Linked DNA regions of Drosophila melanogaster. The protein of the gene in region 1 purifies or fractionates together with the protein of each later gene. This does not show direct contact. Each region holds a gene or a part of one and is shown in the gene's direction. Other genes may lie near its edges.

Evidence for each region.
Region 2: the proteins of CG8036 (region 1) and Akr1B purify together in Drosophila melanogaster (affinity purification with mass spectrometry, with the first as the bait; one large-scale study listed by BioGRID). This does not show direct contact.
Region 3: the proteins of CG8036 (region 1) and yip2 purify together in Drosophila melanogaster (affinity purification with mass spectrometry, with the first as the bait; one large-scale study listed by BioGRID). This does not show direct contact.
Region 4: the proteins of CG8036 (region 1) and capt purify together in Drosophila melanogaster (affinity purification with mass spectrometry, with the first as the bait; one large-scale study listed by BioGRID). This does not show direct contact.

What each region holds. Positions count from the first base shown.
Region 1 is NT_033777.3:8,665,904-8,673,897, forward strand, and holds CG8036 (uncharacterized protein), read left to right. Parts: upstream 1-1,964; 5' UTR 1,965-2,133; intron 2,134-2,212; exon of another isoform or gene 2,213-2,305; intron 2,306-2,708; exon of another isoform or gene 2,709-2,802; intron 2,803-3,177; exon of another isoform or gene 3,178-3,271; intron 3,272-3,625; 5' UTR 3,626-3,921; coding exon 3,922-4,025; intron 4,026-4,596; exon of another isoform or gene 4,597-5,002; intron 5,003-5,807; coding exon 5,808-7,406; intron 7,407-7,474; coding exon 7,475-7,652; 3' UTR 7,653-7,799; downstream 7,800-7,994. Other genes in the region: CG8032 (uncharacterized protein), read left to right, coding at 1-769, 832-952, 1,011-1,193.
Region 2 is NT_037436.4:11,620,023-11,625,914, reverse strand, and holds Akr1B (Aldo-keto reductase 1B), read left to right. Parts: upstream 1-1,533; 5' UTR 1,534-1,567; coding exon 1,568-1,653; intron 1,654-1,716; coding exon 1,717-1,801; intron 1,802-2,199; exon of another isoform or gene 2,200-2,298; coding exon of another isoform or gene 2,299-2,367; intron 2,368-3,739; coding exon 3,740-3,882; intron 3,883-3,948; coding exon 3,949-4,432; intron 4,433-4,492; coding exon 4,493-4,701; intron 4,702-4,811; coding exon 4,812-4,857; 3' UTR 4,858-4,992; intron 4,993-5,249; coding exon of another isoform or gene 5,250-5,295; 3' UTR 5,296-5,380; downstream 5,381-5,892. Other genes in the region: CG6083 (uncharacterized protein), read left to right, coding at 156-298, 363-1,064, 1,135-1,189; Muc68Ca (mucin 68Ca), read left to right, coding at 5,843-5,892. UniProt on the Drosophila melanogaster protein: Catalyzes the NADPH-dependent reduction of a wide variety of carbonyl-containing compounds to their corresponding alcohols.
Region 3 is NT_033779.5:9,913,665-9,917,720, forward strand, and holds yip2 (yippee interacting protein 2), read left to right. Parts: upstream 1-1,588; 5' UTR 1,589-1,683; coding exon 1,684-1,702; intron 1,703-1,960; coding exon 1,961-2,127; intron 2,128-2,387; coding exon 2,388-3,316; intron 3,317-3,375; coding exon 3,376-3,457; 3' UTR 3,458-3,556; downstream 3,557-4,056. Other genes in the region: Srp54 (splicing regulatory protein 54), read left to right, coding at 1-925; CG5885 (uncharacterized protein), read right to left, coding at 3,779-4,056.
Region 4 is NT_033779.5:1,151,178-1,158,108, reverse strand, and holds capt (capulet), read left to right. Parts: upstream 1-1,797; 5' UTR 1,798-2,140; coding exon 2,141-2,363; intron 2,364-3,055; coding exon 3,056-3,557; intron 3,558-3,702; coding exon 3,703-3,827; intron 3,828-4,377; coding exon 4,378-4,723; intron 4,724-4,790; coding exon 4,791-5,338; intron 5,339-5,408; coding exon 5,409-5,932; intron 5,933-5,993; coding exon 5,994-6,077; 3' UTR 6,078-6,431; downstream 6,432-6,931. Other genes in the region: Vps29 (vacuolar protein sorting 29), read right to left, coding at 6,698-6,931.

The sequences.
Region 1 (7,994 bases):
ACACTGAGCTACAAGGAGGCAATATAGTGTTGCCAACTGGTTATAGCTCTATTCTGCGACCGCTGGGTGCTCAGATAGCCAAGCAGTCCATACTGACCAAATGCCCGGTGAAGAAAATCCACTGGAAGCGGAAAAAGACCTTCACTGGGCTGGAGACAGTCGACGAGAACTCGGAGGACGAGCATTCAGACGACTCTGAACGAACGGTGACGGAAGTGCCGACGGGGGAAATTCGTGGCGCCTCCGTGGAGTCCAACACCAGCAGCAATTGTGATTATCCTGCAGGCAACGTGCGCATAGATTGCGAGGACGGTCGAGTGTTCCATGCAGCCCATGTGATATGCACCATACCGCTAGGCGTACTGAAAAACACCCATCGCACTCTCTTCGATCCTGTGCTGCCGCAGTACAAACAGGAGTCCATCGAGAATCTCATGTTCGGCACCGTGGACAAGATCTTCTTGGAGTACGAGCGACCATTCCTCAGTGCCGATATATCAGAGATTATGCTATTGTGGGACGACGATAAGCGGGATATGAACAGCTCCGAGGAGGAGCTGGCCAGCGAAGCGTATCTCAGCAAGAATTGGTTCAAGAAGATATATTCGTTTGCCAAGGTGACGGACACGCTGCTCTTGGGCTGGGTCTCGGGCCGGGAGGCGGAGTACATGGAGAAGCTCGACCATGAGGCAGTGGCTGAAAAGTGTACGGAAATACTTAGGAACTTTCTGCAGGATCCTTACGTGCCCAAGCCAAAGCGATGTGTTTGGTAAGGCAAAGAAACATTATTTGGTTAAGAATGTTGTATATTAAAGAAAAATCTATTTGTAGTACCAGTTGGAAGTCGCAGGACTTCACCGGTGGCGCATACACCTCAATACCGGTGGGCGCAACTCAGGAGGACATCGAGAACCTCGCCCAGCCCCTCTATGCCACGCCCCAAGCCATGAAGGTCAGTTCTACAAGCTTGCTTCCCCGGCAATTGTTCACATTTTAATATATTTCCCCAGCCCGCCATAGTCTTTGCCGGAGAGCACACCCATTCCAGTTTCTACTCTACCGTACACGGCGCCTATTTGAGCGGACGGACGGCAGCGCAGCATTTGCTGGCGAGCGATGAGCCAGACGAAATCATCATGGAGTCGGACGGCAGTGATCTGAGCGCCTGGATACAGGGCATTGCCCTGGACTGAGTCTAAGCTAATCAACGACCACTCATCGATTTTGTATTATAATTTATTAACGTTATTTTGTACACTCTTTAAACGCTTTTTAGCTAGTGATATTTAATTTGTTCGATTGTAATTTATTTTGCTAGCGTCGTAAAACGATTTAACTCATTTTTGTACATCCCTTGTGAGCATTTGTTTTATTTTGTTGATGCAATTATTTTGTAATTTATTTGGAACCCGCTTGTACATTACTATAAATAAAAGTTACGAATTAGCTGAGCTGATCAATGTGCTGCCAACTCGAACAGACCGTGCACCCGCAGCAGCTTTCACTGTACTTGGACGAAAAAGTGTGCACAAAGACATAATGTTGTTTAGACCTAATTACCGATTAGCAACCATAAGTGTATGAATACAAATATATTGCCTATTTTTATAAATTCGTATTTAACGTAGAAAAGGTTGCACCAAAAGGTTGACACTAAGACGATCGAACAATGAGTGCAACTAATGTATATTTGAAAGTAACTATTGTTAACGTTAACTATTTTGCTAACTAAATTATGCATTGGTTGACTCTTTAAGGCGGAAAAGGAAAAGTTGGTATTCATAAGTCCGTTCTAACACTTGGATCTGCATATTTATTTGTATTTGTGACAAAAATATCGACTTGTACGCATAAATAAATAAATTAAATAAATAAATTATTGAATGAAAATGTATAATTTTAAATAGTAAAACACAAGTCGAAGAAAGTTTTGATTTTTTAACGATGGGGAGAGATCTGTATTATAAAAATCAAGTTGTGCTTTTGGTTTTAGGCCAACAAAAGTCTATAATTCAAAACATATGTAGATATCCTAAATTATTTGAAAGTCTTTCGCATTGCACTCGTAAATTTTTTGTGGATACATTTACTCGAACTTAGCTAAGGTGTGGTAAAAAAGCTAATAAGGATAAGGTAGGTGGAAATGAAAAGGATTGACTAAGCTGAATTCAAGAATGCATTAAAAATGGCTTGTAAAAAATTCGACAAAAAATCCTTCGAGCCGGATTTGAACCAGCGACCTATGGATTTCTATTGCATGTTTTCCAACTACAGTCCACCGCTCTACCAACTGAGCTATCGAAGGGGGCGTGCTGGGGAGTAGGTTAAACAACGGGTATCCGATTCATCGCGACTCTTCAATAAACTTTTGTTGGTAATCGGTTTAATTAATGCGTATTTTAGCTTTTAATGGATTGAGGTCACGGACAGCATATGCCATGTCGTTCAAATACCTTTTCTTTTGATTGTTGCTAAGCTAAAATTAAATAATATATTGATGTACGCGTAAAGTAAGACATGTTCATTTTCACGTGTTTTTAAAATTGATATTCTTCAAATTATTATTCATTTTATATAACATTGTGTTTATAAAATGTCTTTTGCATCTACATGTTTATAATTGCATACTATTTTATATATTTTTTATGGGGTACGGGTGCTACTATAAAAACAAAAACGAATTGGATATTACAAAAAATTACAAAAAATCCTTCGAGCCGGATTTGAACCAGCGACCTATGGATTTCTATTGCATAATTTTCCAACTACAGTCCACCGCTCTACCAACTGAGCTATCGAAGGTTGAGTTCAAACTTGGCCGTTGTTCGTTTTATGCATGCGCACAAACGAAATGCACCGTATTTGGTTATTTATTTTTGATTTTTACTTATTTAGGTCAAACAAAATTGATCAACTTTCTCTATTCAGTCCATTGCAGTAAGCCTATAGTTTCCAAGCCTAATAGCCTAGGCGCTTTTCACAAACTATATCAATTTAGTTACGGTTTATTTCTTCCAAATAAAATCCTTCTTATATTATTTAGTTTAAACAGCTCAGTTATATTCTGAATGTCTGTAGATGAATTAAATTGATTTAAATTGTGCACTACAAAATATATAAAAAAAAAGGTATGTGCACTACAAAATATATAAAAAAAAGGTATTTATATCTTTTCGATCCTTCGAGCCGGATTTGAACCAGCGACCTATGGATTTCTATTGCATGTTTTTCCAACTACAGTCCACCGCTCTACCAACTGAGCTATCGAAGGTTAAATTCGCTTGCGGCTAATTCACCTTTTGTTCAGGAGCGAGGTGGGGAAAGTGACAAAAAGAGAGGGCACTTCTCTTAAACACCGCTGCTCTTTAATACTCGCGGCCAGAAAAATAGGACCTTAAATTCTTGTAAACTTATATTAAATACTAAAGCATTGTAAATCTTAATGAGAAAATATTCAGGTACAACTGTTCATGGCTTAATTTTAGACCAAAATTGTGCATGAATTTAGAAAGGCAGCAATGCACTATTTGAAACTAACTAGTTACCCACCCACAGCTGTGCACCGATAAAGGGGTGGTGTGCGAGCAAAGATGCCATATTTATACATATATCCATCTCGTTCCAGCGCCGACGATAGACGATACCGATACTTTGCGAGTCCGCTCCCAAGATTGAGCCCCCACAGCGTAAAAGCGACCGAAGTGCCGGCGACGAGAGCAGTTCGTTCCCAGAAGCCGGCAGCAGTGGTCCGTTGATAACTCCGACTCGAGCTACTTATCCACCACGTCGATACTCTTGTCTGTCTATTGCAAACATAGAGGAGTCACCCTTTGGCTAACGAATCCGAAACTCCCGAGTTTTGTTGTGCAACATATCAAAAACCGCATTTGTTCGGATCCAATTTACATTCGCATTTCAAAGATGTCGTACCACAAGCCCGAAGCTAAGACCGTCCAGGATCTGAAAGATCTGGCCCAGAAACTGCGAATTCACTCTATCAACGCCACCCAGGCCTCCAAATCGGGGTAAGTTTATCAATAACTGAAAGTCCATAGGCATATTAAAGTGTGCGTATTTAGATTTGTTTGTGTAGATGTGAATTTTAAAAGTTGTGCACCTTGCACTTGTTGCTTCAAAGGTGACCCCCTCCATTTCCAGGGTGGGTGCGAAAAAGTTTTTGAGGGGGCTGCTAAATACATACATACATATGTATGTGTTTTGAAACATTACAAAAGAAAATAAAACAAAAATAGTTACGCATATACATAGTTATGCATCTATGTTTGTATGAATGTGAGAAGTAAAATATGGGAAGACCGGTTCCTTTAGTGACCCCTCCTGGGATTCAGTTGCCAACCCACGTGTTGTCCAGTAGCTTTAGTGAATTTGCGAATTTGTTGCCCTGCCTGCGTGCTCAGTGATAAGCCGCGTTCACCTACCTTAAATTGTGAGCTAATATTTTTTGACCTTAGACAACCTTGAAACGTTAGGTTTTTCTTACTGCCTTTTAATTTCTTTTGCTTTTGTTTTGTGCGTGGCGTTCAAAACGCCGAAAGCACATACATATGTACATGGGGTAAAAACAAACATACTTACATATCAAACAGAGGCATTTAATATACGTATGTACATATGTACATACAAGTGTTGGAAAGCACAGCTTGTGACGGGAGTGGAATTGGAAAGAGAGGGATGAGAATAGTAATGGAATGATCCCCTACACTTGAGATTTACGACTGTATGGCTTTTAATGTAATTATATCTCGGATAGACGCGATCAAATTATTACTGCAACAGTAAATAAAAAAGTTACTATGCTGATAAGGAAAACACTTTTATCGCCTCCATTAGTTTTTCCATTCTGTTTCGTTTTTTTTTTTTTTTGTGACGGTTCAAGATAAGATCTGCTCTGTTTGCTCTAAATGTGACCTCTGCCGACGAGATAAGCCCGGTTTGGTTACTCATTGACCACGATATGACCGATTAGAGGTGACCAGCTCAAGTGTGTTCCCCGCATGATAATCGAAAATCACTGAAAACTGATAAAAAAAAAAAAAGCGCGCCGGGTCACTGCTAACACTCCGTATCACCTTCAATAGTTCTTGATATGGCTGCAGGAAACGGGGACGCACTTCGGAACTATCTAGAAGCACGTGCGTTCACAAAGATCGCCATGCAACACAATCGTGGAAGCCAAGAATTTGGTTTTTAAGGCTATTATTTAGGTTTTTTGGTGATCAGAAAAGTTCAAGGTCCCAGAAACCGGTGAGGAATTGCGATGGACTCACGTCGCGACAAACACACATATCACACCATATAACGCCAATAAATACATATGCATGTACTCGTTATAGTTTATTTATATGTCTGGGGTAAGACGAGCCCCCCATTTTGTCTGGGGTTGCGTGTTTTCTTTGCGGTTGGAGTTGTGCCAGATCTGCGATTCAAAGCAATTTTTTTTGGAACACGATCGCATGGGAACATTGAATTCCAAGAATGGATCTTATCTTATTTATATGTACATTGCAATTGGATACTCGAGAAATCTTCATTTGAAATATGAACAGAGGGGGGGGGGGGGGTTTAAATAAAAGCTTCAATAGACAAATGGATTTCTTTTATTAAACAACGTTTTTAACAAGTATGCACAGTGTTCAGTTCCACTTTTCCTTTGTTGATCGGCCTTCACTTACCCACCGTGAGGTCGACTTCTATAATTCATTAGGCACTTACCTTAACCTAGAACTACATGCAAACGAAATGCCTTGTCACAATCTAATATTTTGCCTACTTTTCCCTCTTTATAGCCATCCCACATCATGTGCCTCGATCGCTGAGATCATGTCCGTGCTGTTCTTCCAGCAGCTGCGCCTGAACCTGAAGCACCCACGCGATCCCTCCAGCGATCGCTTCATCCTGTCCAAAGGACACGCTGCTCCCATTCTGTATGCCGCCTGGGCTGAGGCTGGTCTCTTCCCCATCGCGGATCTGAACAACCTGCGCAAGATCGACAGCGATCTGGAGGGTCACCCGACGCCTCGTCTGAACTTCATCGATGTGGGCACTGGATCCCTGGGACAGGGTGTCGCCGTCGGCGCTGGCATGGCCTATGTGGGCAAGAACTTCGACAAGGCCGACTACCGCACCTACGTGGTGGTGGGTGATGGTGAGTCCGCCGAGGGTTCCATCTGGGAGTCGCTGCACTTTGCCGGCCACTATAAACTGGACAACCTTTGCGTGATCTTTGATGTGAACCGCTTGGGCCAGTCGGAGGCCACCTCCCTGCAGCATAAGCTGGATGTTTACCGTGATCGTCTGGAGGCCTTCGGCTTTAATGCCGTCGTTGTCGATGGTCATGATGTCGAGGAATTGAGCAAGGCTTTCCATTGTGCTGCAATCACCAAGAACAAGCCCACCGCCATCATTGCAAAGACGTTCAAGGGCAGGGACTTCCCCAACATCGAGGATTTGGACAACTGGCACGGCAAGCCACTGGGCGACAAGGCCGCCGAAGTGGTGAAGCATCTGGAGGGACTGATTGTCAACAAGAACGTCAAGCTGACCCCTAAGCCGGTGCCCAAGACTGGTGCTGCTCCCGACGTGGACATCAACAACATTAAGTTGAGCTCGCCACCCGCCTACAAGCTGGGTGATTCCATTGCCACCCGTTTGGCCTATGGAACAGCTCTGGCCAAGATTGGCCAGAACAACCTGCGTGTTGTTGCCCTAGACGGAGACACCAAGAACTCAACTTTCTCCGACAAGCTGAAGAACCTCGACCCGCAGCGCTACATTGAGTGCTTCATCGCTGAGCAGAATCTTGTGGGAGTGGCCGTTGGAGCCGCCTGCCGTCGCCGCACTGTGGCCTTTGTGTCCACCTTTGCCACCTTCTTCACCCGTGCCTTCGATCAGATCCGTATGGGCGCCATCTCGCAGACGAACGTTAACTTTGTGGGCTCCCACTGCGGCTGCAGTATCGGTGAGGATGGTCCTTCGCAGATGGGTCTGGAGGACATTGCCATGTTCCGCACCATTCCGGGCAGCACCATCTTCTATCCCTCCGATGCAGTGAGCACGGAGCGTGCCGTCGAACTGGCCGCCAACACCAAGGGTGTCTGCTTCATCCGTACGTCCCGTCCCAACACCTGTGTGATCTACGACAACGAGGAACCCTTCACCATTGGCCGCGGCAAGGTGGTGCGCCAAAAGAGCTCCGACGAGGTGCTTCTGATCGGAGCTGGAATCACTTTGTACGAGTGCCTGGCTGCCGCCGATCAGCTGGAGAAGAACTGCATCACCGTCCGTGTGATCGATCCGTTCACCGTGAAGCCATTGGACGCCGAGCTGATCATCGAGCACGGCAAGCAGTGCGGAGGACGCGTAGTCGTCGTGGAGGATCACTACCAGTAAGTGTTCTTTGTAGTCTTTTTATTTGCCTCCTTTGCTAACTTGAAATTTACTTAATTTCTTATAGGCAAGGAGGCCTGGGTGAAGCTGTGCTGAGTGCCCTGGCTGGCGAGCGCAACTTCGTTGTCAAGCACTTGTACGTGCCCACCGTGCCACGTTCGGGTCCTCCGTCGGTACTCATCGATATGTTCGGCATCTCCGCACGTCACGTCGTCAACGCCGTTAACGAGATCCTCAAGGATTAGGGGACCAGTCGTGATCTGGCTACATTCATTTACCGCCTACAGGAATTCCCCCAGTTACTACTTACTTCCAATATTACCATTCCCTCTAAGATTGTTAATTGCTTCATTGATTTGAACCTTACATCATGGAAATAAAATATCTTTAATAAAAATAGTTAAGCCGAACTATATACCTTATTTACATATTATATTACTTATTTACTATATTACTTATTACATGTTAAGCATGCCTTTAAAATGGCTGGACGATTTCATTGCGTTTGCCTTTGGTTTGCTTTAGACTTGCTTTGGTTTGTTTTTAGTTTGCTGTGGTTTTGCTTTGGTTTATCTCTGGATTTGCTA
Region 2 (5,892 bases), on another chromosome or scaffold:
TAAGTACTTTTACATAGATATATATTGTTATTAAATAATAGCCAGCTGAAATGTGCATTTCCACTGCATATTTCACGGTCAATGTCAAAGCTCTTCGGGGTCAAGCAAAAGCTTTTGATGCACCTCAGCTTTTTACGTTTTATTCGCCATTTTAGAGCCCGCCGGAAGTGGTGACCCAAGCAGTAAAGGATGCTATTGATATAGGCTATCGCCATTTTGACTGCGCTCATATCTATGGCAATGAGGCGCAAGTGGGAGCTGCTCTCCGGGAGAAAATGGACGAGGGAGTGGTCACACGGTAAGTGCTGCTTTCAGGCCTAATCAATCGTTTATCTAAGCCATAAATACATATTGCACTGCAGAGATGAACTCTTCATCACGAGCAAACTTTGGAACACACACCACAAGCCGGATTTGGTGCGCCCGGCATGTGAGACAAGCATAAGGAACTTGGGAGTCAAGTACCTAAACCTCTACCTGATGCACTGGCCCATGGCCTACAAGTCGGGCAGTGACAACCTATATCCCACGTGTCCGGACACCAATAAGGCCGCATTCGAGGACATCGACTATGTGGACACGTGGCGTGCAATGGAGAATCTGGTGGACGAGGGTCTGTGCCAGGCCATCGGTGTGTCTAACTTCAATGAGCAGCAGATGAATAGACTTCTCAGTGTGGCCAAGCTTAAACCGGTAGTTCTTCAAATCGAGTGCCACCCGTACCTTAGTCAGAAGCCATTGATTACGCTGTGCTATGACAATGCCATTGCTGTGACCGCCTACAGCTGCCTGGGATCGGGACATACGCCCTACGAGAAGCCCGGCGCTTATCCACTGCTCCAGCATCCGACCATCTTGGCTATAGCTGAGAAATACGAAAGGACTGCGGCACAGGTGCTCCTACGCTTTCAGACACAATCGGGTATAATTGTCATCCCAAGATCAGTAAGCAAACAGCACATGTTGGACAACTTTAAGCGAATCTGGGACTTTGAGTTGGCCGTCGATGACATACAGGCCATTAACGAATTGGACTGCAATGGGCGTTTTATGACCATGAAGGCGTAGGTGTTGCTCTTTTCATTTCCTAGGTTTTAACTTGAAATATCTCGAATCTTTCTATTTTTCTCCTAGGGCCTATGGACATCCTCATCATCCATTTGAACCCAAAGCCAAAGTAGATAATTAATATTAATTAATATTAGAAGTACAAGTAGTTATTTAAACTGATTGCCTTTAATGTGATAAGTAAGATTGTATGCGGCGATCTGCAGAGTTATACTGATGATGTCCAGGTACTTCCTTTATACTGAGAAGTCTAGCATAATTATTGTTATACAATATAATAATATAATATAATTAAACTGTTTTGCTGTGTGTAAAATCGAATTGTAGCCTTTGAGTTGGTGGGCATTTTAAGCTGTATTTAAAATGTGGCTGTTTATTTTTATATACACATTTATTTTGCTATTTTTCATTTAGGCTTCAATACTAAAACCAAGTAGCCATTGCATTCCATCCGTCAAGAAGTCTCTACACAAATAATTAAAATTTACTGGCGTGCAAAATGAACACTCTAATGAAAATTCAATTGGTTAGGCCTGTTTTTCGCATTACGTTGAGGAATTATGGGAAACCAGAGCGATTTATGTGGTAATATATAGGAAAATCAAATCGAACAAAGCATCAAAAGTATAATTTCCACAAATATTGTAGGTGTCAGAAGGAGTATGCTAGAGCTCCCAAGGTGGTTTGCTTGGACGGAAATGAGATTCCAGTAATTGGGCTCGGAACTTTCAATGTAAATATTATGACAATGTCTGTTTTTTCATATCTATGCCATAGTTTTGATAAATAATCATATTTTTACGAAGATATGGATATAAAAATTTTTACATAGCGATCATAAAGAGCCTATATGGTTGAAGGGCTTTTGAAATTTTATAGCGATCATAACATATGTAAAATGATACATTTTAGTATCATTTATTGAAATCATTAAATGTTTTAATTGATTTAGTTTAATATATATTTTCTTTTATGCTATATAGAGAGTATATCAGCACTCGATATTTAAGCGTAACTGACGATCGCTCAGCTGTTCGGCTTGTCGACTATGCAGCCCTGTCCTCCGAAAGCTTTTTAGAATTTCGAACAAGCTTTTGCGGTGCGTATATAAGCGGTTAACAGCTGAGTGGAATCGCTCAGTTTGTTGAGAGGCGGCAATCGTTAAAAGATTCCCAATTGTATTATAAATATTTATAAATATCCTTAAACAATAAGCGAAAATATAGTACAATGGCTGTACCGAACGTTAAATTCAACAACGGCAAGGAAGTCCCAATCATTGGACTGGGAACCTGGGGCGTAAGTAGAATATCAAGTGATTGCACTACTTTATACATTATACCACTTGCAAATCAATGCAATTGTGTTTGTGAGTTCTGCTTCCCACAATCGGGTAGTTTTCCGCTGCCCACGATTTCCCGTTTTTTGCCCAGCTCTTTTTGCACTGATGCCAGAATACACATAGGGGATAAAAAAGCGTCGCTTTGCTGATAGTTTGCCGGCTGTATTTTGCCGGTCAGTCTGTATGTACATACATATGTACATATTAAATGCTATATCTGCTGCAAAGCGTCGAATCTAGCAGCTATATTACAAAAATAACCGATATTTTGCTGCCTTTATGCTAATTATTGCACACCATGGTGAATAGATGTGTGATTTGAAGATCTCCATGAACTTTCGTCAAGGTGACCCTTTCTACCTTCTTAGGGCAGTGGAAACTTTTCGCAATATGTGCCACATCATTTCCAGATACTTGTAATCCACAAACGTTTATATATTTGGGGCACATAGTAACGGGGTTCTACTCTTATCTAGAGTGGCAGATTAACTAACAAGATTGCTTCAGTTTTAATATTAAAGTGTTACAAAAGTAAGGTGTAATCGGAATCGTGAAAGACAAGCCCCTCAAAAACGGAAAACAAGCGTACAAGTTGAATACAATTCGTAATGAGAAAGCTTTTAAAAAAAATAAATATACGCTGATAGGGCGGTTTTAATTAGCAAGGGTATTATAAGGGTATTTTTAAAAACGGCTTATCTGAATTAGTAAACGTGCACTATTTGTAGATTAAAAAAGGAGAGGCTTGGTGGCCAACCCATAAATTAAACAACAAATGTCTAGTGGCCGTAATGTATAGTTATAAAGTCAAAACTTAATGAAAGTCTTTGACCTTTCTTCTTTGTGAAACATAAATCAATTTTATAAACTTTGGCCAATTTACATACTTAAAAATGTTCCCCTTTAAAACTATAAGATTCATGTTTGTAATTCTATTTTACTATAATAATCTGACCTATTTATGATCTCATTAGAATCTTTTTTTGGATGCGGGAACTAAGGGGGCTGATAAGTGACGTCAAGTGTCTGATAGGGAAGACTTTAGTGTTTAGATTTCCAAATCACGCTCCTCATAACTGAAACTTTGCTCGATAACGAATTGCGAAATTCCGTTAAGAGCATCGAATATTCTATGGTTCCATGATTATTAATGCTTCTTTCCATTTCTAAGCACAACACAATTTATTAACCCTTGAAAGTGCGGAAGCCAATTAGAGAACTTGTGATAACAGAATTGTGCGATAAATGTTATTTAGAAAAGGCCTAATCTACATGATAACTACAATTTGTTGCATTTTTTAACACCATATGTTGCTAATTTGCTTCCAGAGCCCCAAGGGTCAGGTCACCGAGGCTGTCAAAGTTGCCATTGATGCCGGATACAGGCACATTGACTGTGCCTATGTATACCAAAACGAGGATGAGGTCGGAGATGGTGTTGAGGCCAAGATCAAGGAGGGCGTTGTCAAGCGGTATGTTCTAGTCTTGGTCTACTGTTGTTGGGATAATCTCATGTACTGAATTTCACAATTTCGCAGTGAGGATCTGTTCATCACCAGCAAACTGTGGAACACTTTCCATCGCCCGGATCTTGTCAAGTCGGCATTGGAGAACACATTGAGCTCCCTGAAGCTGAAGTACCTCGATCTGTACCTTATCCACTGGCCCATGGGCTACAAGGAGGGATGCGATCTGTTCCCCACCGACAAGGATGGCAAGACGCTGTACTCGCCGGTTGATTACGTCGACACGTGGAAGGCCATGGAGAAGTTGGTGGAAGAGGGTCTGGTCAAGTCCATTGGTGTTTCCAACTTCAACAGAAGGCAGATCGAGCGCGTGCTTGAGGTGGCCACTATTCCACCAGTAACCAATCAGATTGAGTGCCATCCATATCTGACCCAGAAGAAGCTGATTGACTTCTGCAAGTCAAAGGACATTACAATCACTGCCTACAGTCCCTTGGGATCTCCCAACCGCCCATGGGCCAAGGCTGGTGATCCGGTCATCCTAGAGGAGGCTAAGGTTGGTTTGCATTGATAACAACATGTTGAATTTAACTTTAAGCATTTTTAAAACTTTTAGATCAAGGAAATTGCCGCTAAGAAGAAGAAGACCCCTGGACAGATCCTTATTCGATACCAGGTTCAGCGTGCCAACATTGTTATCCCCAAATCTGTGACCAAGGACCGCATCGAGTCCAACTTCCAGGTCTTCGACTTCGAACTGACACCTGAGGAAATCGAAATCATCGAAAGCTTCGAGTGCAACGGCCGCCTTGTTCCCCTACTCAAGTAAGTCTACTAGCACCTTAAATAATGTTTATTTATTTACATTATTAACGACATGTGGGCTTACGGTTATTTTACTCGAAAAAATCACATATTTATTTGTATTTATTCAGGGATGCTGGTACCCATAAGTACTATCCGTTCCATGACGAGTATTAGGCCTTAAGAAACTTATATCTGAAGAGCAAGAAGAATTCGAATGAATGAAAAATTATACCTATTGGAAAGGGAAACGCTTACGAAGAAAAAATCAAAAAGTTTACTGGTCTATATAAACATGAACATGAGTTCAACGTATGTTTTCAAGTTTTTAAGCGCATATTCGTGTTTCCTTAATATTTGTGTTTACTGAGTTTGGTTTATTTAGCTTTATTATTGTTTTACTCTCCCCGCTTGTGCTCTAACAATATTTATATCTTTCTTTTAATAATTTAAACACATTTCTACGCTTAGGCAGTAGTAGTTGTAGATAACCCATTGTTCGCTTAGCTTGTGCTTAAATATAGTTTATATAACATATACTGATCAAATTTGTTTTTAAATAATTACAGCCAATACGGTCACCCTCACCACCCTTTCGAGAAGGACGAATACTAGAAAGCGACACAGTGCTCGGTTCAAATCTATAATTTGTTGCATAATCATTTTATCTTTAATCGTACGAATAAACAAAAATACAAATAACGTTCTCGTCTTCCCCCTGATTGTTTCAATTTTTGGAGAACTGGCTGACCAAATAAATGGTTCTCGTGTGCTTTTAATGAATTGTTAAAAAATCGGTTAATGCACCTCTGACGTATAAATTTGACACGAGCGAACGATTTACGTAAAGTCAAAATATCTAACAAGTGTTTAATCCAAGCTGAGCACAAATATTTTGCACAGTTGTTTCTTAATAGGTATTTAAAAGATATTTACTTTGACGTATAGTATAGTTCATACAATTTGCTTAGTTATTGTATTATTCGTAGAAACAATGGAAGTACCAAATGTTCTTTGTCAAATAAAATTTTGCAAGCTAGACAAGCATCTACGCAAATAGCCAAAATAATAACGAGACCCCCGTATCAGAGTATAAAAGGTTTCAAATTTTAAATTTGGCCACCAGATCTAATTGATCCGACACCCGGTTTCTTGGAGGATCATGCGCTTGTTCCTCGTCGCGGTTTTGGCCGCTTATTTCGCCTACGTAGC
Region 3 (4,056 bases), on another chromosome or scaffold:
TGAGTTCTGCGAACAGACCAGCATTATTCACGCCCTGCGCATGCAGGGCCAGGAGTTCAAGGGTGGCCATCTAAGCGTCTACCACTCCACGTATTCCATAACCAAGCCGGAGGCAAAGTCGAATGAGGCAGCGCAGGCTGAGATTGAGGAGGCCATGACCATTGTGAAAGAGGCGCAGAGTATGATCTCAGCGGCCATTGATCCGGTAATTGGAATGCTCGCTAAGGACAAGCGCCGCAGGTCGAGATCACGGTCCCGTTCCCGGGACCGTCGCACCAGTCGATCCCGCTCGCATCGTTCCACATCGAGACGCCGTTCCAGGCGTTCCGGTTCCAGAGAGCGACGTAGTGTGTCCCGATCACGCCGCTCTAGGTCGCGTGGCAAGCACTCGTCCCGTTCTCGCAGCAAGCGCTCAAGATCACGACACCGTCGCAGCTCCTCACGTTCCAGGAGATCACGCTCCCGTGGCGGCAAGCACTCTCGCTCCTCAAGGTCGCGTGGCAAGCGCTCCAGGTCCCGCCATCGCCGCAGCACCTCACGCTCACGTAGCTCGCGTTCCCATGGCACCGGTGGAGGAGGCAGTGGCAACGGCAAACGTTCCCGATCCCGCGAGCGCAGCAAGAAGTCACACCGCAGCGAGAAGCACTCTTCACGTTCTCCCCGATCTAGAAGCAAGCGCAGCTCTCCCTCGCCGCCGCCAGCTACCGGCAGTAAGTCACGGTCCAGTCGCAGCAAGGATCCGGTCATCGTTTCCGCCAAGTCATCCCGGCGGCGCGACCGCTCCCGTACTCCCGAAACTCGCAAACTCAAATCCATCTCTGAGGACACTGAGGTTAAGAGCTCACGATCCAGCGCCGATTCGAAGTCACGCAAATCGGTTAGTGTCGAGAAGTCGGACAACATGGACATCTCCAACTCGCCCTAGACCTAGAGAGATTGCATACTACTTTATAATAAATACAGAACTTAAGCAACCCCGTCTCCAGTACAACCCGACACCCATTGTCCTCAATGAGATTTGTATTTCACTCAACTCTGTCATAGTTTTCAAGTATAAAGTCTAATTAAAACTGAAGCATTTTCTTTCGTAATGAAAAAAATAGTACATACAAATATGAATGATATCGGTATCATAGCAGTACAATTTTTTTTAATTTTTTGCCAAGTACGGATTGTTTATTTGGAAACTATAACAATCTTATTGTCTTCTTATTAGGAAAACCCAATACAAATGCAAGTTAAATTAATAAAAAACTTTCTAATGAAGACCAACTTTAAAACATTGTATGATCAACATTTTGTAAGGAGTACTTAAGTATGCAAAATTGCTTTGATAAATATACATTAAGAACGCATTAAAGAGACTTGTATTTAAAAACTAGAGGATTGATTGAGTTTCATCAAAAATCGAAATTCAGCGATGGTGACTAATCGTCACTAAGAACAAAGGAAGGAACAAACTGCAGCTAATTTTGCACAGTGTATTCTACAGCTGTAATCGGTGGGCTTGTCTCACTTTGTTTGTCAGAGAGCGGGGTAAAGCTTTTCGAGCTTTCATCCAATAATATGTCGGCGATGGCGGCGAATCGCGACCAGAAGTCGAAAGTTATTGCAGTGCGATAGTCGCCTTTACTTGCATTAATTTATTTGTTGTTTTATTTAAGAGTGAACCCACCTTAGAAAATGTCTGCCGCAACCAAAGGTAATTATGTGAATCCTTTAGGATATGCCTATGCTGTTGGAAGTCTAGATAAGAGATGATCTCGCTAGAGAGATCTGAACTTTGGACTCGTTGGTGTCTTATCTGATGCTATCCCCCCCCCCCGCGTCCAGCCGGTTGCACTTTGGACCTGTTGAATCGAAAACAAAAATCCGCCTTCGTTCGAGCTAAATTTGTGCTATCACTACGCACATTATATATGTTATACATATGTTCGTATGTTTCTTCTCCTTTGTAAAGGTATCTATATTGTGGCTGCCAAGCGTACGGCCTTCGGAACCTTCGGTGGATCCTTGAAGGGCATCAACCAGACCCAATTGCAAACCACGGCGGCCAAGGCTGCCCTGGATGCTGCCGGTCTTAAGGGTGAGCAAGTGGACACCGTCATCGTGGGAAATGTGATCGCGGTAAGTTGGATTGAAGATCCTAAAATAGAAACTCTTAAGGCGTCGGATTAAAACAATATTAAGATGTTATTAAACTAAAAGAAATATGTAAATGTGATAAAATACTTGTACATCTGGTTATGTAAATTAATTTACTCGATATTTATTTGTTATTATTGCTTAATTGCAAACTCAGTAGATCAAAAACTGGAACTACATGCTTATATTATGTTTTTTTGTAACTTGTAAGTCTTAAAAATCTCTTCTCTTCCACTTCGCAGTCCTCCTCCACCGATGGTATTTATGTGCCCCGTCATGTGGGTCTCAACTGCGGTGTGCCCATCGAGAAGCCCGCCCTTGGAATCAACCGGCTTTGCGGTTCCGGCTTCCAGTCGATCGTAAACGGAGCCCAGGACATCCTGGTCGGCGGTGCCAAGATAGCCCTTACCGGCGGCGTGGAGAACATGTCACAGAGCCCTTTCATTGCCCGTAATGTGAGATTCGGAACCACCTTGGGTGCCAGCTACAATCTGGAGGATGCTCTATGGGCTGGCCTCACCGATACCTACTGCAAGCTGCCCATGGCTCTGACCGCTGAGAACCTGGCCGATCAGTACAAGATCAGTAGGGAGCGTGTGGATGAGTTCTCTCTGCTCTCGCAAAAGAACTGGGAGAAGGGTCAGAAGGAGGGAGCATTCAATGCCGAGATCACACCCATCAAACTTAAGGTCAAGGGAAAGGAAGTGGACTTTGTGGTGGACGAGCACCCACGTCCCAAGACCACCATCGAGGGTCTGAACAAGCTGCCTTCGCTGTTTAAGAAGAACGGCGTTGTGACTGCCGGAACAGCATCCGGAATCTGTGATGGTGCCTCCGCAGTGATCGTGGCCTCCGAGGAGGCGCTTAAGGAGTACAACCTGAAGCCTCTGGCCCGTCTAGTGGCCTTCTCCTTTGTCGGAGTCAAGCCTGAGATCATGGGCATTGGCCCAGTACCCGCCATTCAGAACGTCCTGAAGGTTTCCGGCAAGAAACTGGAGGATATTGATCTGATTGAGATCAACGAAGCCTTTGCTGCCCAGACATTGGCTTGCGCCGATGCCCTGAAGTTGGATACCTCCAAACTGAATGTGAACGGAGGCGCCATCGCCTTGGGCCATCCTCTGGGTGCCAGTGGCTCTCGCATCACTGGTCATCTGGTTCATGAGTTGCAGTAAGTTTCCGTGGAAATTTACAACCTGTCATAAATTGATAATTATATATTTTTTCCAGGCGCAAGAAGCTAAAGTACGGCATTGGATCCGCGTGCATTGGTGGTGGTCAGGGCATCGCCCTTCTCCTCGAGGCTGTCTAATCCTACAGCTTAATGTAATAGGTGCCCTGCATTTACACTTAAATTAGTGCTGAAAATTCCGTTTTAAAAATACCCCGATAGCAATAAAGAAATTATTTTATCTTTACAATTTATTCAATCAGCAGCGAATGGAAGTTGATCAGCTTTCTACAAGAAAGACAAGTTGGTGTTTATACTATAAAATTTCTATGCTCGCACTGCTGGAAACGCCAATGGGACGGGGGTTGGCGGATGAAGGACCAGCCCGCTGTACCAGGAAATCTCTTGAAGGGCCTTACATTACGAGTACATGAACATGGGATGACATGGCTGCACATTCGCTCAGTTCGTCTGTGCGCTGGTGGAGAAGAGCGACAGAGCGCCGCTGGCGATGCCCACGGAAAAGATGTAGTTGATGAACGGCGTCGAGTTCTTCAGGATAAAGAAGCTGATGAAAATGATAACGGCCAGGTAGATGGCGTTGTTGTAGAAGATGGAGAAGGTGGTGGCCTCGTAGTCGGCTACCTCGTTCTTCTTCCACAGGATGCGCTCGTCCTTTTCCTTGCGCGTGACCTTCTTGTCATCGCCCACCTGACGGTTGACCTCGCGGGTCACCGCCT
Region 4 (6,931 bases), on another chromosome or scaffold:
TCCTTGCAAATTCATCAGCAGCAAAAGAAGGTGAGTAACGCCTGATTGTTGCTAAAAACGTTCATTTAAACGGGGCTTTGCTATTATTCGCAAATTCTCTTCTCCCGTTCGCCGGCTGAAAGTGTCTGCGGAATTAACGGTTATTGGTGAGGGGTGGGTGGTGCTGTCACGAATTTGAGCGTGTGTGTGTGATGCAGGCTGTGGGTGTTTGTACACACACAACAACAACAACAGCGAAGAGAGCCAAAAAGACAAGAGACAGCTGTGTGATGGCTATTTTTGTGTGATTCATGTTGCTTGTAAAATTAAATCTACATGGTGTATTTTTAACGATGATTTCATATCCGATTCCATGGCATAAAGACACAACTAATTCATTGCCAGCAAGTGTATGCAAATTAACCCTTAGCAGCTCCCATTGCGATTGTTAACCCCCGATAAAAAAAAGTAACTACTCAGCTGTTGTGGCCATTTTTTGTTTTTGTTTCGCTGACTCACAGACACATAGTTGATATGCATATGTATGTATGCATGTATGTAGTTTACGCAAGAGCAAACACGTTTGCTTGTATTCGTGCGCGAATGAGTCAAAAAGTTGGCCAAAACGCTTTTATCAGCGAATCGCGATTGAAAATCGGCAGATATTACCACTCACTCGATTTCGGTGGAAGAAAATAACACCTCGCCTTATAAGGTGGGCGATTTTTCTTCTACCATTACGAACACCCCCCACCCCTGGTAATTCGAGCTCACTCACACTCTCGCAGCGGGAATAACGGTTCCTCAGCTGCAGACATTTAATCTTGGTTTCTAGTTTTTCTTCCCCATTTCTTCTTTGCTTTCTGCACGCAACAAACGCATCTGCCGCAGAAAACGCATCAAGACTGCAAGGAGAACTAGTATCGCCAGGCGAAAGTTGAATCTCGGCTTACTTGTCCTCGGCGGCTTAGCCCCTCCCTCCAATCCAACGGCTACTGATGCATTTCCCACTCTAATTGCCAGCCATTTGTTTAAAGCTACTTAAAAACAAAAACAACGTTGCCGGTGCAATAAACCCATTGCACTAAGGCCAAAACAAAAACTGGCAAGCAAACGATATGGGAGTTTCAGTTACGTCGACGTTTTTATACTCTTCTGCGGCAGATTACTTCACAAAAAGCTGAACATTTTAAAACTGTTTTTATAGCCGGCTAAGATATGATCATTGCATCTCTCTACTCTCTATGGCTTACAAACGTTATGGTAATGCTCAAAATGGAATCATAGTTTCATTACCGATCATTCCTGGAAACTTTCCAAATAGTAAAGATAACTCGGTGTTGTCACAACTAATTGATAGGCGAACCCTGCCTTACAGGGCTGATAAAACTATGGGATCGCCGTGGTTTTCCCTCACTTAAGTCGCGCCACCCGTGGCGAGAAGGGTATCACGAAATCACAGTGGTGTCTGCGCAACTCTCTCGGAGAGTTTTCCATTTTCCGCCTGGACCGTAAGCTTTCTCTGCTGCAAAAGTGCAAGACATCGCCGGAGCTTGCACAAAATCCTGCATGTCAGGCCAAAAGCGGTTATTAATGAAACACATTTCATTGCCAGTCGGTGGCTGGCCCCAAATGGTCAAAAGCAGCGCGGAGTAGCCCAACAAGGCGGCGAAACTCAGCAGTTAACAGCGCGGAGCTCTCCTAACAGAGTCCTGTTGAGACCTTCGAGTTCGAGTTCGAAATCGAATCGAATCCCCGAGTGCGTGGGCGTGCGCTTCGTTTAGGGTGTGTTCTGTTCTCCGTGTGTAATCGCATTTGTGTGCCATTTGGTTCTGTGCTTGGTCGGCAGTCACTTGACCCAGTTGAAGGCGCGGACAACTCGGAGGACCTTATTAATGTGCCACTAAATTTGGGCCATACACTGAATATATGTACACAGTGAGCAAGGAGTGGCCACGTTCGTTGGAAACCCGTTGAGTGTCTTATATGGCTGCTGCTGTTACTGCTTCTACTGATTCGATTTGGTTTGGTGTGCCGTCAGTGTTGTGACCGCCGCTTGAGCTTCACGGGCATCCGCAGTCGAGCCACGGAACTTACATAATGTGCTTGATTCGTACCTAGAGTGTTGAGCACCGGAAAAGCCCAGCCACACGCCTGCAAAATGTTCTCCTGCTGCCGATCGAACCCCAAGGCGGGCAAGAAGGAGAAGGAAAAGCGGAACGCAGAGGAGGAGAACGGCGGACAGGTCACCGAAAAGGAGGAACCCCAGCTGAACGGCAAGCCAGGAACTCCGAAGGAGGAGCCAGAGCCTGTGAAACCAGAAAAGGAGCTCTTGGAAGCGCATAATCCCGAGGATGTGCCCACAAGCACCCAGCCAAACACTGGTACTGACGCAACGCTAAGTATTTACCCACCACCCCATCTATTCGCGTTCTCCGGCCTTCGAGCTCAACAGCTGTCTCGGCTTTTGTCTGCTCTCCGGAACGAAGGCCCCTATCCGGCCGGCTCTCACTCACTGCAATGCCACTGCAGCTGACCACCACTTCTGATCTTTCCTTTCATTTCAATCCGGGCACTTCAAGCTGCCTTGAGTGTCCTTTTCTATTTACTTATGAGTTGTCTTCACTGTGCTTTCTCTTCGGTTTATTTCTGTGAATTTTATACATATGAATATCAAGGAATTGCGCCGATTCTCAGTTGATTAATGAGGAATAGCTAATGACATTGCATACACACTTTTTGTTGAGCACTTAGATCGTGCTCATCCATCAAAGTGAACGTATAGTATATAGTAGTGACGAATATAGAAACTAAAATGAAGGTCAATAATTTAGACAGAAAATTCAAGATTCTATAGATTCTATAATAATAAGGTGAGCAGTAAAAACTAACTACTCAATCTGCCAGTGACCATGGTAAATGCTTTTAAATGCGATAAATAAACATAATGAAGACAGGAAGCGAGGTGAGCAGAGAGTGAAGTGAAGTAATCAACTTAAGTATCGGCGCTTTCCTTGATGATCGTCTTGGTAATTCGTCGCTTCATGTAGAGTAATCTTAAGCAACACTTCCACAGCCCAACCAACTCAGGCTGAAGCGGCTAGCAAATCATCACCAGCAAATCCAGCACTAGCACCCAAAGAACCGGAGCCACTGGCCCGCTCAACGCACTCTTCCACATCCACGGCACCACCTGCTTCGATGACCAGCGGCGACGCGGAGGAGGCGGACGAAGTGGTGGTGGTGGCGACGGTCACGCCGACCACACCGCCTCCTCAGCCGCCGCCCACCAAGAGCTGCCTGTCCAGGCACAACTCAACGCATCAGTCGATCAAGAAGAAGGTGAATATCAGCAACCGGGCGGAGATCATCGAGCCGGATCCACTGCCACTGCTCCTGCTGGCCAGCCAGAATCAGGGCTCCTTGCTGGACGACGACGAGGTGTTCTCCGACTCACTGCCGCCACCCAAGCGGGAGAGCATGTGTGCACCCTACATCGAGGGGGATGTCGTCTCGGAAACACTCTTCTTTGCCCACGGATTACCCTCGTGGTTCGACGACGAGCGCCTGAACGACATGTATGCTTACCCAAGATCCTGTTTTGGTTTCACGCCCAAAATATCCATATAGTTAAGCTGAAACCAGAACAGGTCGACCCCTGCATTCCCAGCCCCGCTTTGAATTGCCAGTACATCGTCTCCTCTGTCCTCGTTCCATGTCCAGCGGCTGCATCGAGCCCCCGGTCACGCCGGTGGGACGCGACGAGCTGGAGCTGAAGCGCCAGCGTCTCTACACGGAGCTCCTGCGGGCCGCCCATGCGGCTGTGGAGCATAGCGTGGCCGTGCGGGGTATGCGAGCTTCGATAGAGTCCGATTCTTTTGCTTTTTTTTTTCGATCTCAGCAGTTATTTAAGCGGATGCTTGACTTTCTGTGTTCTTTATGTGTTCGTTTTCGCTGTGAAGAAGTTTTGAGAGTCTAGCGATTCACGTAACTTCCTGATGGCCAATAAGTTCGCAAGTCAAGTGCTTCCGTTTAAAGGTTCAACTTAGTTCTTCTCTCTTATGATTTTTCGTTGTCTTGTGCCGTTTTTGCATGTGGATTATTACTTTCACTCGTTGGGATTAGCTCTTTTTGCATATTGAACTTTATAAGTATTAAGCGCACCAGTTCATCATCATACACAAGCTCGTGATGAGGTATTCCTCTCGAGACGCCTTAGTTTATATCGCCTTTTTTGTCAGGTATTGTGAGTGCACGATTCACTGGGGTTTATCACGCTGAAGCATCATCTCACTCAAGTTATTTTCTTTATAAAACTCAGTGTTATTTGAATAATTCGAGATAATTGCCAAAACGAACTAAACATTTGCCGTTCTCCTCCGCGTCATTTTGGTTCAGATAACGAGCCGGAAGCCAAGCCCTCGGCCGCCGTCGACCACTTGGAGAGCATTTGCGAGCGACTGGAGACCCTCGTCGACCGATTGGAACGGACTCTAACAGCGCCACAGCCGATAGAACTGCCCACGCCCACACTCCCGCCTCCGCCAGCCGAAGAAGAAGAAGCTCTTCCAGTTTTTGAAAAAGCAGAGACACCACCTCCACCTCCCTCGCCGCCCAGCAGCAACATGAGTGTCGCCGGATTCGAGGACATTGTGGCGGGTCCGCTGAGCCAATACCTAACTCTCTCCGCCAAAATTGGCGGCGATGTGGCGCAGCATGCGGAGCTCGTGAAGAGCGCCTTTGGGTGAGTCAGTCTGGATGAGTCATCTATGGTAAAAGTGTAATAATGCCATCGTTCAATTCCGCAACAGCTCCCAACTGCAGTACGTGACGCTGGCCACCCAGATCGCCCAGCCGGCGCAGCCCAAGCAGGCGGAGCTTCTGAAGCCGACCTCGACGCAGATCAGCGCCATCCAGGACTTCCGCGAGAAGCACCGCTCCTCGCCCTTCTTCAACCACCTGTCGGCCATCAGCGAAAGCATTCCCGCCTTGGGCTGGGTGTGCGTGGAGAAGACCCCGGGTCCCTATGTCAAGGAGATGAACGACGCCGGCCAGTTCTACACGAACCGCGTGCTCAAGGAGTGGAAGGAGAAGGATGTTACGCATGTGGAGTGGGCCCGCGCCTGGGTGCAGACGCTCACCGAACTGCAGGCCTACATCCGGCAGTACCACACCACGGGCTTGGTGTGGTCCGGCAAGGGAGCGGCCCCCGCCGGAGGTGCCCCGCCACCACCGCCACCCGGTGGTCTGCCCCCACCGCCGCCCATGCTGGATCTGAGTGCCCTCAAGCTGGATAGCGCCGGAGATGATCGCAGCGCCCTCTTCGCCCAGATCAACCAGGGTGCCGACATCACCAAGGGTGAGCAGCAACTGCAAAAATGGTTAAGTGCTCCTATAGTAAGAAAATGTATCTTTTGATAAACCCGCAGGCTTGAAGAAGGTCACTGGCGACATGCAGACCCATAAAAATCCATCTCTACGCACTGGACCGGCTCCGTTCAAATCGCCAGCCCAGTCGGGCGGCAGCAAGGCCGTTGCTGCTCCATCAGCTGCGCAAGCCAAGGCGCCCGTTTTCGAGCGCGACGGAAAGAAGTGGATCATCGAGTACCAGAAGAACAACACCGGGCTGTTGGTGGAGAACGCCGAGATGAACAACGTGGTGTATGTGTTCAAGTGTGAGGGATCCACTCTGACCGTCAAGGGCAAGGTGAACAACATCGTCTTCGACTCCTGCAAGAAGTGCTCCCTGCTGTTCGATTCCGTGGTGGCCTCCGTGGAGTTCGTCAACTGCCAGAGCGTGCAGATGCAGGTGCTCGGCTCGGTGCCGACGGTATCGATCGACAAGACCGACGGCTGCCAGATGTATCTGTCCAAGGACTCGCTGGGCGTGGAGATCGTCAACTCCAAGTCCTCGGAGATGAACATCCTGTTGCCCGACGACAGCGGCGATTATGTGAGTTCAAAAATTTGTCTCTTGTCTTCAGTCATTTATTTATTTTTTTTGTGATTTCCAGACCGAGTTGGCTTTACCGGAGCAGTATAAGACCACGATTGCCGGCAAGACCCTGAAGACTGTGTGCGTGGACAGCCTCGGCTAAGGCGGTTCTCCTCCTCGGGGATCCTGTTCGTTGCTTTTCCAACTGTCGTCAGCAGCAATCATAATTGTATTTAATCTAAGTGCAAAGTTTTCGTAATTCAAAGATTTTTAGATCAAACATTTCGTATTGATGATGTTGCCAAACATTGCTGTCCTGGCTCGTGGAAAGTATTTATATAATTTATTTCGATGGAAAAGCGATGGCCACAAACCGAACCCAATGTATTTATATCGAGAGTGTGTTGCAATGAGAAACTGAGCATGAAATCCGAACTTTTGAGCAGACTCTTTACTCGATCATCAGATGTAACTCCTTTTTATATTCTATTTAATAAAATTTAAACTTTTTTATCAGATTATTGTGGGAGTATCACAATTTCTGGGGGTGTTTTTCCTTACTTTGTAATCGTTTATTATTGCATTAAATCTAAAACTTCACTTTCGTCCGTTCGTACTTTTATTCTCTATTTAAACAAGGTGCTAGCATTTTTTATCAGATAAAAAAATGAGAACTTGATTTATTGCTACGTACATTTACAATTTCTTTAATGAAGCCGAGCTCAGAATGCAGGGGTCAAGGGTTGGATTGGAGGGGAATGGCTGGTGGCTAATACTAGGACCCTAGATCTTCTTGTACTCGATGCGCTCCACTTTGACCTCGTCGCCGATCAGTTGGTACACGTACGTGACCACCGTGGTGCTCTGAATGTCCATCAGCACGAACGAAGGCACCACATTGGTGTCCAGTGGGTTGAAGGCACCCGTGGCCGATCCCGGATTGATGTAGAATTTGTTGCCGTGCTCGTAGGCCTCGAACTTGTACGTGTGCCCCGTGATCAGGATGTCCACGTCCAG